Linked DNA regions of Kluyveromyces lactis. The protein of the gene in region 4 interacts with the protein of the main gene of each other region in a pairwise test. Links are inferred from orthologs where the notes say so. Each region holds a gene or a part of one and is shown on either strand. Other genes may lie near its edges.

Region 1 (4,268 bases), on a different chromosome or scaffold from region 4:
GGATTCATCAATGAGCATTGTTTTGTGGGGCTTTTGTGTCTGATCGTTTGGCTGGTAAATGCCAAGCCCTAATGCTCCATTCTCGTCGGCTACGTCATGAGATACCTGCAATGGAGGTAACGACGGCAAGTTAATATCCTTATCATTAGTACTTTGTTTTCTGGCATCAGTAGATTCCTTTCTGGCGGCAGAAGCTAGTTTTCCTTCCTCTGTTTCTGGTACTTCGAACAGCTTAGAATTTTCATCAAGCTCTTCAACGGTCTCAAACATGAATTCTGGTTCCTGTGCAACCTTGGATGATGAGTATTCAGGTTGGCCAGGTAGAGGTTCAAGATAATTATCGTTCTTCAAATGATCCACAAGGTTCGTGAATGAAGTCTTAGTTGAATACAGTGACAATACAGAAAATCTTTTGTTAGAGGAAGAGAAATGTTTTGACCTCCTTGTAAATTGTGGAACTTTGACTTCTGAGAGCTTTCTGGGTTCAACTTCGTCATCTCTGAGAGTTGCAACTGCTTTAGCATTCTTGGGTAACTTTTGAACCTCGTACTTTGCAGTCTGTTCAGAGTACTTTCTCAATTGTTCTTGTCTCTCTTTAGATACTAAATCCTTTTGGGCTTTCTCTAATTCAACGTTCAAGTTAAATTGCGATCCAAGGAATTTGGAGCGTCTAATGGTTTCCAGAATAGTCTTTTCCTTTGACGCTTGGTCATCTTCTAGGTTAGCTGACAGTCTACTTTCAGCAGCTATGATACCAGGGTCAAGTCTGGAAACTGGTCTCGTTTGTAGAGAGAAGTTTCTTGTATTGATTAGTTCATTGATGTCATTCTTTATACCGAATGTACTATCTCTTTTGTTTGCAGTTCTATCGGTCTCTATCGGAGCAGAGACAGATCTTCCATTGGCTGTGTTTCTTTCATCCGAGCTCCCCTGAACAGCTTCATATTCCGCCTTGAGCTTAGCAATTTCGTCTTCCATTTGGTCTTGCAATTCCTTCTGTCTTTCAGCTCGCTTTCGTTCTTCTCTTTCAAGTCTTTCTTGCTCCTCCCGCTCGATCCTTTCCCGTTCCTTTCTTTCAGCTTCCTCCTTCTCACGAGCTTCGTTGACTTTTCTTTCCAACTCTTCCTTCTCTTTCCGTATTTGTTCGTATTTCTCATGCTCGAAAATCTGATCCATCAATGTAGCAAAGTCCTGACTTGTCCTTTTCGTTTCCTTTTCGATGTATTCCCATTCACTGTCTTCGGAAAGTTTTGCATACGTTGCAATCAGTTTCGTTGTTATAGATCCACGCTTCATATTAGGCAGTAGAGAGAATCTTTTGGATTGTCTCTTTGATTGTCTTTTGTAGTCACGAAGCATTTCTTTAGGGACGGGTGGAGCTGCACTATCGTTTATCCTGGAAACTCTTTTATGAGCAGCAGGGGTTGGAGAAGACGAATTGGAGACTAGCTGTGAAATTCTCTTGTTTGAAGGGAAAGTCTTACTCAAACGTTTACCTATTGAGCCGTTTTTCACTGGTGAGCTATGTTGGCTACTCAGTTTTTGCATTGATACAGGTCTTTTGTGAGAAGATGAGGCAACTATGATTGATGTTCTTTTCTTCTTTGGAGTGGTGACTGGGGAATCAGATTTATTAGGAGATGGTAAAGATCCAACGTACATCAGCGAATTCGAAGAGACAGATTGTTTCTTTTGTAATTCTTGTTGCTTCAATTGATCTTGGTAATTATCGTGTTTAAATCTATGCAGTAAAGCGTAAAAAGTCTTTTCTAAATTAGCACCAGGTTCCATCAACTTCGTAATAATGTCTTCCTTATTTCTACCATGCCATAGAACAACCAAATTCTGCAAAATAGTTTCATCTACGCATTGATTTCCTCCTTCTAATGATAGTGGATTCAAATAGGTATCTTCTCGAGGTAAGTTTCTAATGGATTTAGAGTCCTTAATGCTTGGGTATTTTCTTAGAAGTGGATGCTTTAGGATCTCTCTTGTCTTGATTCTTTGTTCTGGATCTACTGTTAAGATTCTGGCGATTAAATCTTGGGCTTCCGATGATATTTCATCATCTCCAGGCATTTCAAATTTCCCACTTTGAACCTTTAACAAGAGATTTCTGATATTGCCATCTTCTTCATCAAATGGCAACCTACCGGTCAGTAAAGCGTAAAGAATAACACCACATGACCAAACATCGGATTCAAAACCGTGATATGGCAAGCCCGAGACAATTTCGGGTGCCGCGTAATGAGGCGAACCACAACTAGTTTCCAGTAATTTATCTTTTGATTCTAGTGCTGCCATACCGAAATCGGCTAGTTTGACATTGAATTTATGGTCTAATAAAAGATTTTCAGGCTTCAAATCACGATGAACTATACCTAACGCATGGCAGTAAGAAATACCGATAATTATCTGTCTGAAAAATCTGACTGCCTCATTCTCAGGTAATGGGCCCCTTTCCACCAACAAGTTGAATAACTCACCTTTTTCAACGTACTCTAAAACCATATATAAATCTTTTGAAGTTTCCCAAACATCGTATAATCTCAAGACATTAGGATGATTCAACAACTTCATAATGATAATTTCACGTTCAATACCATAGGGTAAGACATCAGGATCGTTACCACCAATCATTGTCGACCCTTGAGCGTTGAATATTGATTTTGATATAATTTTCACAGCGGCTTGTTGTCCTTTAGTTTCATTATAGGCCATTACGACTTTACCTGTTGAGCCAACACCCAGTGTCGAGCCCAACTTCCACGGGCCAATTGTGTCACCCTTTAACGTCGTTATTCCGTTACCGTTCATTTCTGATATATTGTGATAGTATTGGCCAAGCTACAAGTTATAATGTTCCCCAGTCGCGTAAAGGTTTGAATGATAATTTCTTATGAGAATGAATGTGGTGTAATATATCGTTTTTATCAGAGTGAGATTCGCTTGCCTAGATAAATAACTCTCTATGTCTGATATCTGGTACCGTCTAGTGAATTCAATTGGTCGTGGTTGAAGATGGTTGAAGTGAATTGAAATTATTTTTTTCACGATAACTTTTATGGTTTAATCTACTTCCAGTTTTATGTGATGAGCCTTGTCTCAATTTCTCAGTATTTCCCTCAGGTACAATTTTCACCAAAGAAAAACACAATTAAACTTCACGTCTTGGTATATATGTATGCCAAATAACAATGGAAGAAAAAACCTACCAAATTCAAAACGAGTGTGGCAGAAAACTATTAACAAGACAGCTAATATTTCTTCCACTTCTGGTAAATTATTCTTTCTAAAATCATTTACTGTAACAGTTATACTAATTGAAAAGAATGTTCACCATACTAGGAAGGAAAATGACTTGAAAAAAAAAAGACCTAAAAACGCGAAACTTGAAGCAAACCTAGCTTTTCGAATCGAAATAGGAATACAAGGGTGGTAATTTGCAGGAGGTCTGTTATAAGCCCTGCCATTTGATACCCAATCTCTTTTTTCTTTCCATTCGGATTTCATTTCTAATTCCATACCGACTGTTTTCCCTGGGGAAATGCAGATAAGCTTGCGGGCACTTTTCTTGTTGTTCATCCAAAGTAGTTTTAATATTCCAGATACATAGTCAGTTATTATAACATTAGATAGGTTACATTGAAAGATAAAAAAGGATGGGAATGCTGTAGTTGATCCCACTTACTGCTGCAAAGTACACTCCCAATTACAAACTACCACCAATTTGCTCTCTGTGAGCTTCAATGATATCGTTATCTTCCATGTCCAAATCTTCAGGGGTCTGATCTGGTAACACACGCACACCGTCGTAAAGGAATCTTAGGGATTCAATCTCTTTACCTTGTCTCTTAGCAAATGCCTCCATTAATCTTTTTAATGGAGTGGTCTTTTTGATCTTGAAGAAGATCTCACTGGATCCATCCGAAACCTTCAAGTTAATATGTGTTTCTGGCTTAACATCCACCTTTTGTTCTTGTTCTTCTGACATTTCAAACTGTGGTTATATATATAGGCGTTGAAGAATGGAGAAACAGGATTCAATGAATGTTTAAAGACTCGCTTTTTCTTCTTCTAACTCTCGGCAGTATAGATTGAGCTTTTGTTTGTTAAGGTAATTTGTATTGTTGAACTAATTCCTGGCCAAAAAAAAAAAATACTGTAGTCCTGAAATTCGACTGTCAACTGACATGGAAAAGAGCTCTAACAAAAAGCAGTTTCCTTCTTCCTTTTGAGAGCATGAAAATGAGAAGTTAGGGGAGGGA
Region 2 (4,320 bases), about 180 kb from region 4:
AGTTAGTTCATAAGGGCAGTGATAAAACAATGTTACTCGAATCTATTAAGAATTTTGGATTTGTTCCAGTCACTGCGCCAGATTTCAATTCCTTTAAACAAAAGTCAATCGACAATGTTGACATCGACCAATTAACTAACAGATTGGAAACATTGGGTTACGTTGCAGTTTCAAAAGAAGGATACTCAAAATTAATGGCTCCCGTTATAGATAAAGTAACTAAAGATGAAACTTTTAAACTCTGTGACAAATACAATCTAAAGCCTGTTGCTGCTGAAGCATACCAGAAATTACAGGAAAGCTCGAAAGTTGCACTACTTTCAGAGGATGAATTGATTAAGAAAGTCAAGGAACATGGTCATGTGGTCTTAGATAGTAAGTCTTACGAAGATTTGATAAACAAATCAAACAATCCACAACTAAAAGATTTATCCAGACACCTCTCAACCTATAAAATGGTTCCCGTACAGCTGAACGAATATGAAAATCTAATGGCTATGAAAGACTCTCCCTCATTGACGTTTTTGAAGGAGAAGGCTAAACTTCATCATCAAACTATGTTACCATTCGATGAACTGGAGGGCTTGAAATCGAAATTAGAGCACCCATCTAGAGAATATTTAGAAAACATGGCTGGAACTCTTGGACTCGCCCTGTTACCAATTGAATCTATTGAAGAGCTCAAGACCTCATATGAAAATCCTTCTATTGCACACTTATCAAATAGGGCAAGCAATATTGGCAAACGTTTGATCGATCAACAGAAATATGACAATTTGCAAAGAAAAACAAACGAACCTACGGTGAAAGAAGTGGAACAACTGGCTGCTAGAATTGAATGCAAGGTTCTACCAACTGTCGAGTACGAAGAGCTACAGCTCGCAATCAATAACCCTTCAATCAAAAGATCAAAGGAGGTTTGCGACATCAATGGGTATAGCGTAGTTCCCACGAAAAAGTTCAATGAACTTCAACTTAACTTGACTAGTCCATCTTTAGAATTCTTGCAAGAAAAAGCGCAGCAACACAAACAAGTTTTACTACCGATTGAAGAACATAATAAGTTACAAATGTCAGCAGTTACTGACGAGCAGGGTTTACAGAGAAGTGCGAGAAGTCTCGGACTTGTAGTTGTTCCGGAAGCTGATTATGATTCTTTGTCCAATCCTTCCCTGCACATCCTACAAAAGCAAATAACAGAAAAAGGTCATGTGGTACTTGATGCTGAGACCTACAAAAGTCTCAATTCCTCAAATGTTGATTCAATTTCCAAACAGGAGGTGATAGGTCTGTGTTCAAAGTTCGATTTGATTCCTCTACCTGAAAAACACTATAAGGAGTTAACAGTTCCTTCGATAGAGAAAGTAAAACAGCTAGTCGAACCATTAGCGCTAACTGTTATTGACCGTGAGGAATTGGCTTTCTTGAAGACCCAAGTTGATAATCCATCTGAAGAATCAGTTGTAGCGACCGCGCCAAAATACGGGTACAAGCTCCTGGGTGACAAGGAATATGAGAATTTACAAAACGAGGCCAAAAAACTCTCTTCTCTCACCAAAATTGATATTGAAAAACTTGCAGCGAAATTGGGTCTTGTTGTTCTTAGTGAAGAATCATACGATGCTCTTATTGAAAAACTGAAAAAAGAGGTTGAAGTTTCTTCAATGTCACCAAGATCGAAAGTCGCAGCAAGCAAGCTATATTTCGAAAATGTTATCAAGAAAGAGAATTCAAATAAAGAGGTGGTATTAGAATCAGGAAAGTTATTAGGATTTGTAAGACTTTCAAACGATGAGTACAAAAGGCTTCTCGAGAATCAACAAAAGCACGAATTAACAAAGACGGATATTTATAATGGGGCAAAAGCCTTTGATCTCACTGTTCTTCCCTCCGAAGAATATAATAACTTATTACAAAGAAAGGCGCATAGTGATAATATTACATATGACGATTTACAGTTGTATGCTTCACGTTTTGCTTTGAAGTTGGTCCCTGTTAATTTCACAGATGAAGAACTCGAGAAACATAATAATCAACGTGTCGGCGATTATGGCTCTAGGCCTGCATTAAATCTCCATCCCTCTGTGAACCATTCCACTGTTAGTTTCAATTCTGTAAGCACAGGTGACACTGATTATTATGATGCGCTACAAAGTAGCAGCTCCTTCAACCTCAGAAACAGCCCTTCGAAGTCAAGCATGCATACATCTTCCACTCATTATACCGATGCCAATGATTTCCTTGGTTCTGATAATGATAATGTTTCACTGGCATCAACGATAAAAGATAATGAACCGACATTGGAGGACTTGCAAAGACATGCAGAAGTTTTAGGTTACAACCTTATTGAAAAGGATATCGATTGTCATCAAAATCATTACTCTACATCATTGACACCTGAAGATTTGACAAAGGATATCATTTACTCTGCTGCACCGCAATTCGGATTATCTGTGGTGCCAACTGAGGAATTTATAGAGATGGAGAAACTTATCACTTCAGAGAGGTTAACACCAGATTCTATTCGTGAGAGTGCGAAGAAGTATGGCTTAATAGTTTTAACTGAAGCTGAACATTCTCAACTTGTTAAAAAATCTACTCAATTGATCGCGCCAGCTCCAATAATCTCAACAGAAACAATTAAACAGAAAGCTAGAGAACATGGCCTCGTACCAGTAGCAACAAATGACTACCTGAAGCTTATCAAACCTGATAGTGCTGATGATATCAAGGAAAAAGCGTCAAAGCTGGGTATTGTCACATTAGCCGAAGAAGACTACAAGGAAATTAAAAAGCCTTTGACTCGCGAGCTACTGGAAGCAAGGGCCAAAGAACTAGAACTCGTCACGCTACCAGTTTTAGAATACAGTGCCCTCAAAAAACCGTTGACAGTTACAGACATAAAACAGAAATGTGAAGATTGGGGTTTAGTTCCTATAGAAAAAGACATATATGAAGACCTTTTGAACAAGTTCAACGATGACTCTGTCAGTGAATGGGCGAAAGAACATGGGAAAGTTATTGTCTCGAAAGACGAATATGACCATCTGTTGGAAGTCGAGGATCAAGCGGCTTCTGTTGCAATGACTAGGGATGAGTTGATAGAAAGAGCCCATGAGCTCAACATTATACCGATTGATGCTGACAAATTTGAAGAAATACAACGCGAATTAGCTTCCTCCGGCAGAAACAGTATGACGGAGGACGACGTTGTTTTGAAAGCTAAAGAATTAGGATTTGTGCCTATCCCAGTGTCCCAGTATGATCCAAATACCGCGATTGGTATTTCTAAAGACGATCTCATGATACGCGCACGAGATCTTGGTCTTGTTCCCATTCCTATTGAGCAGTTTGAACAGATTAAGAAAGAATTGGAGACGCCAACCTTGACCAGGGAACAAATAGTTGAGCATGCCGCTGATTTCAATTTGATAGCTTTAGATTTAACGGAGTACAAACGTTTGAAGAAGGGTTCGTATTTGATGGATAACGACAATGACACTGATTCTGAAGAAGATGAAGAGGAAGAAGAAGACGCAGAGGTCGTTGACTCTGAGATAAAACAATTAAACAAAGCTGCTAAGAGATTTGGCTTACTATGTATTCCAGAAAGCGCATTTGTCGCCACATCCAATGCAAATACTCCAGATGTCCATAATGTTGTTGTGTTGCCGATCAAATATTATAATTCTCTATTACATCAAGAGTCTGAAAATTGGGCGAAGATTACTGATGAGAATTTGCAAGCGGAAGCCAAGAAGCGTGGTTTCCAAGTTGTCGTTAATTTGAGAAAGGACTTTGGCGATGGCTTTACTCAGGGGCATAGAAGAAATTCTTCATTGGCGACTCGGTCTGTCATTTCAGAGGATGCTAGAAGATCCATGTCAGAAGCTGCTGCTAATGCTGCAATGAGCGAAATGGAGCAACAGACCAGATCCAGAGCCCCATCAAGATCTTCTTCAATCAAACGTCCGTCGCCTTCACTTCAAACTAATCAAGCATCACTGCTTACACACAGCGAGTCTATGGCTACTGGTTTATCTTTAGCTACAATGGCGTCCCTCAGCGCTCCAAGTATCATCCCAGCATTGACCCAAACTATGATTGGTGAATACTTGCACAAGTACTATCGTCGTTTAGGTGGATCTCTGTTCCAATCTTCACGTCATGAAAGATACTTCTGGGTTCATCCTTACACTTTAACCTTGTATTGGTCTACGTCCAATCCTGTGCTTGAGAACCCAGGGAACAACAAAACCAGAGCGGCAGCTATTATGGGTGTAGAGAGCGTCGACGATCCATGTCCTTTCCCCGCTGGTT
Region 3 (3,742 bases), on a different chromosome or scaffold from region 4:
AGAAGAACAAACAGAGGAATCAAAAGAAGAACAAAAAGAAGAAATAAAAACTGACGCCAGGGAAATTGAGCATACAGAAACGGGAGCTGAAAAATCTGAACCTGCAAATTCAAATGCCGCAGATCACTCCACAGCAACTGAAGGAACTGCTCCAGCAGCAGAACAAGTAGCAAATTCAGATGTAACTGTTGACACTTCAAATGAGAAAAATGCAAATACACCAGAGAATGAAGAAAAAGAAGCAACAGAAGTAAGAGCTGAAAAAACAGGAGAAGAAGGGCTACAAAAAGCGGAAGAAAAGAATAAAGAGGAAGGTAGTCAAGAAGAAGCGATTCCAGTGGAAGAACCTCATCAAGAAGAATCTTTAGAGAATGAAGCATTATCAAACAAGGAAACACCATCGGAAAAACAAGAGCTGCCAGAAGAACAAGCAGTAACGGTCACAAATGCTGAATCTGATGCTAGAATAACAGTGAAGGACGGCACAGAAGTCGCTCTAGCTACCTTGGGGCTACGCTCTCATGTATTCGCTACCAACCAAGAAAAATTGATGAATAGGACGACAAATGATTTAATCAATACTCAACTAACAAAAGTCGATTTGAAGTTGAAGGCTCTTGATACCATGGAAAAATCCTTGGAACTAGAGCGCAAGGCTGTGCATAGGAAGCAAGAAGATGTTTTCATTCAAAGGCTAAGCTTCACCAAGTATGCCAACTCTCTTATGGGAAAATTTGAATCTTTACTGAAGCAAATTCCGGAATCTCCAGAAATCAAACAGCAATTACACGAATTACGTACCATAATTGCTGATCCACCAAAGACAAGTATCACATCCCAATCGGGTAATCTACAAGATTCTGATGATCTAGACTCCGCCAACAAACCAATATCGATTGAGTCACCGCAGTTATATCGTTATTGGTCAGGTTAATAATATAGACAATATTCATGTATTATATAGCCTCGTAACATTATATTAATTTAAACTATTGAAACAACACAAAAAGTCAAGCCTCTCCTTGTCCAAATGCAACATCTTCGTTGGAGTAAATCCTACTTGTTTTTTCCTTTGTACCTTGTCTTCAGGAATTATGTCCGTATGCTATATTGTCTTTAAAATATGAAAATATTGGAAACCTTCAAAAAAAATAGCTTTAACTAAACACGAATACGATATTTAATATTCCCAATATCAGAACAATTGAATGATACTGGTATTCGTTGTAAAGGTCGGATTTGCATTATTAAGGACCCAGTAACAAGTTCTGCGATGAATTTGTCTACATATGAGCATGCGTTGTCATTGTGGAAAGAAGCTGGCTTCAGCAGTATACAATCGTTACTTGATGATAGCATAGCTAAGATAAAGGATTTAGAAACTTCATCCTTGGAATCAAGAAAAACGTTAGCCAGTGAGACCAAGAAGTACAAGAAATTGCCAGATGATGAGAAACCTAGCCAATCTTTGAAATTAGTGAAAGAATACCAGAAGGAGATTGATTCGTTGACTACCAGATCAACGTTCTCCGAAAAGGTTGTTATCGAATTATATGAGAAGTTAATTGAACAACCGGACCCAACAGGGATCCTAGAGTCTATTGTAGAGGAACTGAAGAAAGATGGCACAAATGTCGATGATATCAAAGCTGAAAACCAAAAATTGGCGGCAATTGTTAGCAAGTGTGCCGATTATGACACTTTAAAGAAAAGATTATCGGATCTTGAACAAAATTCGGCTAAGACATTATCCAATAGATTAATCGCCAAAGAGAAAGAAATTACATCCAAATGGGAAGAAAAGCAACGTAATTGGAATAATAGAGAGGACGAATTATTGAAACAGTTAGAAACGTTGAAAAATACCAATAGCATCTTGGAAAAGAAAATAGGTGCTCAGGTCGATTTGGAGCAACAAGAAGATGGCGATGATGACACCGTTCTCGTTAGTGGAAAGAATAGCGCTCAAAGTGAGCTTCTGGTACAAGAACTTGAGGCTGCACAAATTCGTATCATGAGTCTTGAATCACGTAATGAAGAATTAAATTCTGAGGTAACCAAATTGAAGAGCGATGAACAACAGGATTCCATATTTCAAGAGAAAGAGACTAAATTGAACCAATTGGAAAGTGAAAATGCTAAATTGGTTACATGTTTAGAAGAAGAACGCAAGAGTTTGAAGGAAACATCCCAAACGTTGAGCTCACAATTGAAATCATCTGCACTTGAAACGCAGACTTATAAATCGGAATTAGAGACATTGAGACGCAAGTTAACGAACTACTCAGATTATGAAAAAATAAAGCAAGAATTGAATGCCATGAAGAAGATTGAATTCGGAACCAGTGATGACAGTGACAACGAAAACGATGATGGTGATGACTCTATCACCAGTTCATTGAAACATGCGAACCAAAAACTCCAAAATAATTTGGTGAAGGCCAATACTGAAAAGAACAAATATATGAACGAAACCCAAACGCTCAAGAAAAGCATAGAAGCTTTATATTCTAAGATTCAAAATCTAGAAACTTTGAATGCGAAATTAGAAGCAGACATTGAGAAGGTCGAAGATGTAACGAACCAATTCTCCGATACACAATCAATGATGTCAGGGGCAACAAGGCAAATAAGTAATAGACATGCCACTAACGAAAAACTATCTCCTACAAGCTCAATCATTGGAATACCAGAAGAAAAAGAACTAGATACCTTCTCCGGCAATTTTAACGGCTCTCCATCTATCCTACCAATTGTCACCAAACAGAGAGACAGATTCCGCTCAAGAAATCTAGAGCTTGAAAGGCAAATAAAGCATTGTAACCAAGAACAGACGAAACTTAAGGTACAAGTGAAGGAATTAAAGGCCGATAATTCCAAATTGTACGAGAAGGCAAAGCTACTAAGTTCGTATTCGAACAATTCCGCAGTGCGCAATACAGTAGATTTGGAATCTCCATTTTCCGAAGAATATGAGGAGTCATTACATCCATTATCTAGTTTCAAAGAAAGAGAGCTAGAAAGATACGAACGACGTAAGATGCCACCCTTGGAAAGACTATTCTTGAGTTTTGCAAAAGTTATTCTAGCGAACAAACAGACAAGAATGCTATTCATGTTGTATTGCCTTGGATTACATGGATTGGTGATGGTGATGACTATATATGTCACAAGTTTCACCAACTACATAACTCCAGACGTTAGCTCCTCATCAGGTAGTATGATTAACACCAATCAGTGAGATACAGTGGTCATTCTTTTTTGTATAATTTCCGTTTATAGTTAATTATGAAAACAGGTAAATCGTTCACAGGAATGTCTCCTGGACTGGCAAATACCTTACAATGAATTAGGTGAAGTATTCTTTTGGGAACGTATGTTGACTGATTAAATTAGTATACTCAGAGGTTTGTGTAAAAAATTACTTAAATGTTATGATATTTATTTGAGAAAATGTTTGGATGGGAAGATCCAGGAAATTTAAGCAGTGATTCTCTTTTGAGTAGCCAATCTACCTCTTTGTCTGGAGGACAATCTAGCAACCTTCTTTTCAGAAGCCTTTTCAACAGCTTCTTCCTTTTCAGTAACGACCAATTCGATGTGAGATGGAGAAGATTCGTATTTGTTAATTCTACCGTGAGCTCTGAAGGTTCTTCTTCTTTGCTTTGGAGCTTGGTTAACTTGAATGTGAGAGACGTACAATCTGGTAGCGTCTAAACCCTTAGCCTGTGGAAATGATTAA
Region 4 (2,299 bases):
ATTCAAGCTTTGTAATATAATTAACGATGAAATTGTCAATCGATTTCAACTTTTCATATTCCAACTTTTCAAGTGTTAGATCTGTCACTAAGGTCTTGATGATATTAATCAAATTCGGACTTGTTCCGATAGAATTGTTTATAAATATTCCACTCAATATTTCCGTTTCAGACCCCAATACAGCATCTTCGAGGTCAAGATTATTTACATCTCCGAACATGGCGGCTTCGAACGCAGCTTTTTGAGCAGTTGTTATCGTGACCATTGGGTCTGGAATCCCATTGTTTGCAGGTGTACTCCTGAAATCTCGTTTATTTGATACTAGTAGTTTATCGTTTTCGCCAATCAACGGTATCACTGAAATGTCCTCCACTAATGCACTTATTTTACGATGTTCAAGCTTTGTGTCTATATCCGTCCCTAAATCTATCACATCCCCCACTTTGATTTCAACATCAGTTTGACCGATCCTACTACCATTCACGAAAGTACCATTAGATGATTTCAGATCACGTATACATATTTTACCAGTTTTAGCATCACACGATAACGATGCATGGTTTCTTGAAAGCACTCTAGAATCAAAATTTCCATTATCAGCTTTCACCTGTGGATCAGCTTTGCCGGAAAGTCCTCCGTTACTTCCAGAATTTGAAGCTCCAATGACAGGTCGTCCCAATTTTAGTCCACTGGGCTTGAATGGAACTACTAAGAATTTAGTCTCAAATGTGTTGTTCAACGATTTTAGAACCAAAACATGTGTGTATTTGTTTCTGGCCTGTGTTCTCTCATCTTCAGCGGAAGTCAGTTTATTAAGAGCGTCATTACTTGAATTCAAACAGTTGTCATTCGAAGAACCGTTGCTGCTTGAGTTGGAACGAGCTCTTCTTCCTTTTGTTTTTGATGTGCTTGTGTTATCGTTACTCTGGTTTGCTGAAAGAGGATCCAATCGACTTCCTTGTTTCTCAGTCATATTCACTGCTTATAAGAACCCAATTAAACCATATGCAAAAAAAGGTAGTGCAAAGTGCAAGTTCTTATTCGGCTTCTGATTCACTTCAATGGAGAGACTGCCTCGTAGCAAATACTGCTGAAGCTGCTTTACCACTTCTGTGAAGATAATACTAAAATCATGAAACTGAGAAAAGAATGGACTTAATTTCAATCACAATTATTTTAATTCACCACATAGAAAAGAGGTAAACAAACATTACGCAACATACACATGAAAACACAACACTTCACATAGATCGGCAGGATTGTAATTGGATAACGCACTGTGATAATTTGGCATTGTTATTTGAGCTGATTTGACACAATGGAAGAGGTACTTTCGGAGGGTGTAGATGCTTTAGCAGCATGTGTCGATGACATGGCGAAATGTTTAACCGTATCTAAGGTCACTACAGATAGAAGCACTAAACTTGCTATAAATATGCTACAAACTAAGAGGGTATTCCAGTTGGTATCAGAATATGATGTGCAGAGGGCCAGACTTGATTTGATGGAGGATATAGAACCATTGTTACAAAAACTATATAGTAAACTGGAAAAAGCTCTAACCAAATTGGAAAGGGAGCGGGCCACTCTATCACAAACATTCGAATTGAATAAACTACGATTCAACAATCAAGAAAGTAACCCCATCATAGATAATGTGAAATCGGATCCAGTTGTAATAGTATCCTCGACACATGAAGAATTGGAACGTCTCAAAGACTTAAAGAATCGTAAAGAAGAACTGATACAAAGAATACAGGAATTGCATGAAGAGAGATAAATAAGCATACGCCGACTCTCTATCTATCGCATTGTTAACTTAAATTTTGAATATTTACAAAGTGATTGCTGATTTTGTTTTCAAGCCCGTTCAACTTTGCACTGACACTAATCAATGTAGGATCGCTGGTGGTAATTGAAACTTTCTCGCATTCAGTGACAACTCGCCCGTTAAATGTCACACACCTAGCCAATAGATCGCTTGCTTGCGGAAGAGTGATTCTTTCAGTTGCTGAAAAACTGGATATCAAATTGTTTATCATAGATGTTTGTTCAACTTGCAAGCCTTCTTCCTTAAGGATCTCTGCGATTTTTCCATTTCTGTCTTGCTTCAGCCTGTCTCTGACTTTATCACTGAATGATAACCCAGTTTTCGAATCGATCTCACTCCAGGGTTTTTTAATGACTTTTGTCAAATTCCTAATGTCCAAGCAAATCTCGTTTTTGAATAGCACTAATTCCATATTGACCAAATGATGTGCTGATTCACAAATGTCATGAGATTCAGAGAAGTTGTCGT
Region 5 (2,790 bases), on a different chromosome or scaffold from region 4:
CTGTTGACACAGTAGGGCAAAATGTTGAAGGTAAGAAAGCACTTGCTGTAGAATCTTTTGCAAAAGCCCTAAGACAATTGCCTACTATTCTTGCGGACAACGCTGGTTTCGATAGTAGTGAATTGATCACAAAGTTAAGATCTTCGATTTACAACGGCATGAGTACATCAGGTTTGGATTTGGATAACGGCACCATTGCTGACATGAGAGAACTAGGGATCGTGGAAAGTTATAAATTGAAAAGAGCTGTAGTAACCTCAGCCAGCGAAGCAGCCGAAGTCCTCTTGAGAGTGGATAATATTATCAGGGCTAAACCAAGAACAGCCGATAGACAGCACGGTCATATGTAAATTAATTAAATTAGTACTAAGCAATCACCACAAACGTTTAAATTTCGTTCTAATATCCAAAAAGTTAAGCTAAGAAGTGAATTATCATTATACATGAAACAACGTAGTTCAAAATTTACTCCAGAAAGTATATAGGGTAGGTCAATAACCTCAGTAAAGAGATTGCACCTCTATCTTCAAATTATGCAGTTCCGACTTCTTTGTTTTCAGGTACTCCTCCAACATTTGTACTTGCTGCTCAATACTCTCTATATCATCCCTCAAACCTCCAACATCAACGCTTTCTGAAGAAGTATTGGAATTATTGACAAGGTTTTTTTGGTATTCCAAGAACTGTTCTAACTGTTGTTTTACTAATTTCATTCTATCATTTGAGTCATTATGAGAGGTGGATTGTTGCTGTGCTGACGATAATTCAGAGTCAATATTTGCCAATTCCCTTTGAAGTCTGACTACTTCCCAATCAGTTCCCTGAGTAACAGAAAAATCAGTACCACCACGTTTTGGTATTTGGTAAGATGAAGAGTTAGATGTGGATAGTGTTGGCCTTCTTACTTCGCTCTGCTTGGAAGACAAATCCGTGGAAACTCTAGTCTTTGTAAAAGTTTCTTTCAATGCTGAAGGTAAATGTGATGGTATTGGGCAAGCATAGTCGTTCACTTGTCTCAGAATATGAATAAAGTATAGTGCTGGATCCTTATCTATGGAAGTGTCAAGCTTAGGATTAACCAAACGCCACGTTTTTTCTAAATCTTGAGATGATAGATTGATATACTTCGATCTAACGGCGGAGGATAGTGAAACATAAGATACACTATTGTCTCTAGAGGTTATGGCTGATTCATAAATTGATTCGTATTGTGACTTATCATCTCTTGATATATACCAATCAACTTCTTTTTGATAATCGTCTACAGCTGGCGAAGATGTCGGAACATTGACCACAGAACTTGTTTCTGCTGTTCCGCTACTACGTTCAGTTTTTCTTTGTTTGACTAATTCGGCTTTTGAACCGGGAATCAACCAATCTGGCAATTCATCTGGTACAGAATCTATGTTTTTATTAACCATGTCAAATATCATTCTCATACAAATCACAAACTCTTCAAAATCTAGTTGATCATCATCATCGATATCGGCCAAAAACCATATTTTGTTAAGTATCGAGGTGTCCAATTTAGAATTGAAAAGGATAGGCAGTACTTGATCATGGGTCAACTTATTTTCCACCGGTTTCAATCCGGAGAAAATTTGCCAATACTTTTTGATCTCAAATTGTTCAAGCTTTGGCATCTTAAATTGGTATTTGAATTATCTGTGGAGTCAAGCGCGATTAAAATAGAGGTCAGATATCAAATTAACACTGAGCTCAAACGTAATGTTTTCTTTGAAGTATGCCTGCGTTACTCACAATCAGTCAAAGAGACAGGAACAAATAAAACAAGAATATGTTATACCTGCTATCGCTCTAGCGTGTTCTTCGGTTTGAATCGTTTGGAACCTTATCTACTTCAATAAATTGCAATTTAAACCTTTTGGATAGTTCATCGTATTGATCTTAACAGTAATATCACCCATTTCAGTGCTGAAAGAAAATCAAAATTCCATTGACCTACATTACAAAAAGGGGAAGTCACGTTATACGTAACACACGTGACCTTGAATAATAGTCAAACAACCCCTCACGTGACAAGAATTTGTATCTGTTTTTTTTATATCTTTTTGGTGGATGCTACTGGTTTACCCGGTGTTCGCGTTATATCCTATTTTGGTAACACATTTAGAGAAATCGCGAAATGTTTTAAGGATGCCAAAAGAAGAATTATAAGTGAATCTTCAGAACTTTGAGGTAGGTGAGAATTTGGGGGACCAGAAGTAGAATGTGAGATGAAAAAAGCTAAGACAGGGTTGTAGAGGATTTCGATTGTTTCCAACTGGCCCGTTAGTTTACTGAGAAGTAATACCAAAATATAATAATGGTTTTTCCTGTCTTGCAACTGTGATATTTTTGGTGTCTTTCAATTAATATTCATATATTTCACGAGATGAGGGCTCCCGCCTTAAATAAAACAAGATGTATTCTCAGGGCCCATTCGTTTCTTCCTCATCTTAACGGTTCTGCAATCCAGTAACGCTTTTACGTTATACTATCCATTAACTTTTGAGATAGAAGGAGCAGCACTAACTGTCCGATCGCTACGTTGTTCATTGATCCATTCATTCACTCCTTGACAGCCTTCATCTGAAAGCAATAGCAGAGAGAGAATTAAGAGCTCAAGAAACGCATACAAGGAAAATTGGAACTAAGTTTACTCATAGTTGTTCAACTGGACTTTAGTTTTTAATTTGGAATAAGAGAAATTACACGAACGGAAATTAGTTCATTATACAGGGTTTAGGGTTATGAAGACTGAGTTGCTGTTGTCTTCGGCGCTGTCAC

Evidence for each region.
Region 1: the proteins of SPC19 (region 4) and KLLA0_C01650g interact in a two-hybrid assay, tested with the Saccharomyces cerevisiae proteins (2 studies listed by BioGRID). The link is inferred for Kluyveromyces lactis from reciprocal best matches to the Saccharomyces cerevisiae genes SPC19 and GIN4.
Region 2: the proteins of SPC19 (region 4) and NUM1 interact in a two-hybrid assay, tested with the Saccharomyces cerevisiae proteins (2 studies listed by BioGRID). The link is inferred for Kluyveromyces lactis from reciprocal best matches to the Saccharomyces cerevisiae genes SPC19 and NUM1.
Region 3: the proteins of SPC19 (region 4) and COY1 interact in a two-hybrid assay, tested with the Saccharomyces cerevisiae proteins (2 studies listed by BioGRID). The link is inferred for Kluyveromyces lactis from reciprocal best matches to the Saccharomyces cerevisiae genes SPC19 and COY1.
Region 5: the proteins of SPC19 (region 4) and END3 interact in a two-hybrid assay, tested with the Saccharomyces cerevisiae proteins (2 studies listed by BioGRID). The link is inferred for Kluyveromyces lactis from reciprocal best matches to the Saccharomyces cerevisiae genes SPC19 and END3.

What each region holds. Positions count from the first base shown.
Region 1 is NC_006039.1:126,668-130,935, reverse strand, and holds the start of KLLA0_C01650g (uncharacterized protein), read right to left. Parts: upstream 2,818-4,268; coding exon 1-2,817. Other genes in the region: SUMO family protein SMT3, read right to left, coding at 3,713-3,994. UniProt on the Saccharomyces cerevisiae protein: Serine/threonine-protein kinase which regulates the localization and the function of the septins during mitosis. Phosphorylates SHS1.
Region 2 is NC_006040.1:1,402,710-1,407,029, forward strand, and holds part of NUM1 (Num1p), read left to right. Parts: coding exon 1-4,320. UniProt on the Saccharomyces cerevisiae protein: Controls nuclear migration. NUM1 specifically controls the interaction of the bud neck cytoskeleton with the pre-divisional G2 nucleus. Functions in dynein-anchoring.
Region 3 is NC_006037.1:577,589-581,330, reverse strand, and holds COY1 (CCAAT displacement transcription factor COY1), read left to right. Parts: upstream 1-1,273; coding exon 1,274-3,241; downstream 3,242-3,742. Other genes in the region: SWI3 (Swi3p), read left to right, coding at 1-934; KLLA0_A06336g (60S ribosomal protein uL22), read right to left, coding at 3,481-3,726. UniProt on the Saccharomyces cerevisiae protein: May be involved in intra-Golgi transport.
Region 4 is NC_006040.1:1,585,075-1,587,373, forward strand, and holds SPC19 (Spc19p), read left to right. Parts: upstream 1-1,318; coding exon 1,319-1,780; downstream 1,781-2,299. Other genes in the region: KLLA0_D18799g (uncharacterized protein), read right to left, coding at 1-973; RAV2 (Rav2p), read right to left, coding at 1,815-2,299. UniProt on the Saccharomyces cerevisiae protein: Component of the DASH complex that connects microtubules with kinetochores and couples microtubule depolymerisation to chromosome movement; it is involved in retrieving kinetochores to the spindle poles before their re-orientation on the spindle in early mitosis and allows microtubule depolymerization to pull chromosomes apart and resist detachment during anaphase.
Region 5 is NC_006039.1:982,970-985,759, reverse strand, and holds END3 (End3p), read right to left. Parts: upstream 1,644-2,790; coding exon 501-1,643; downstream 1-500. Other genes in the region: chaperonin-containing T-complex subunit CCT2, read left to right, coding at 1-350; AXL2 (Axl2p), read left to right, coding at 2,754-2,790. UniProt on the Saccharomyces cerevisiae protein: Component of the PAN1 actin cytoskeleton-regulatory complex required for the internalization of endosomes during actin-coupled endocytosis. The complex links the site of endocytosis to the cell membrane-associated actin cytoskeleton.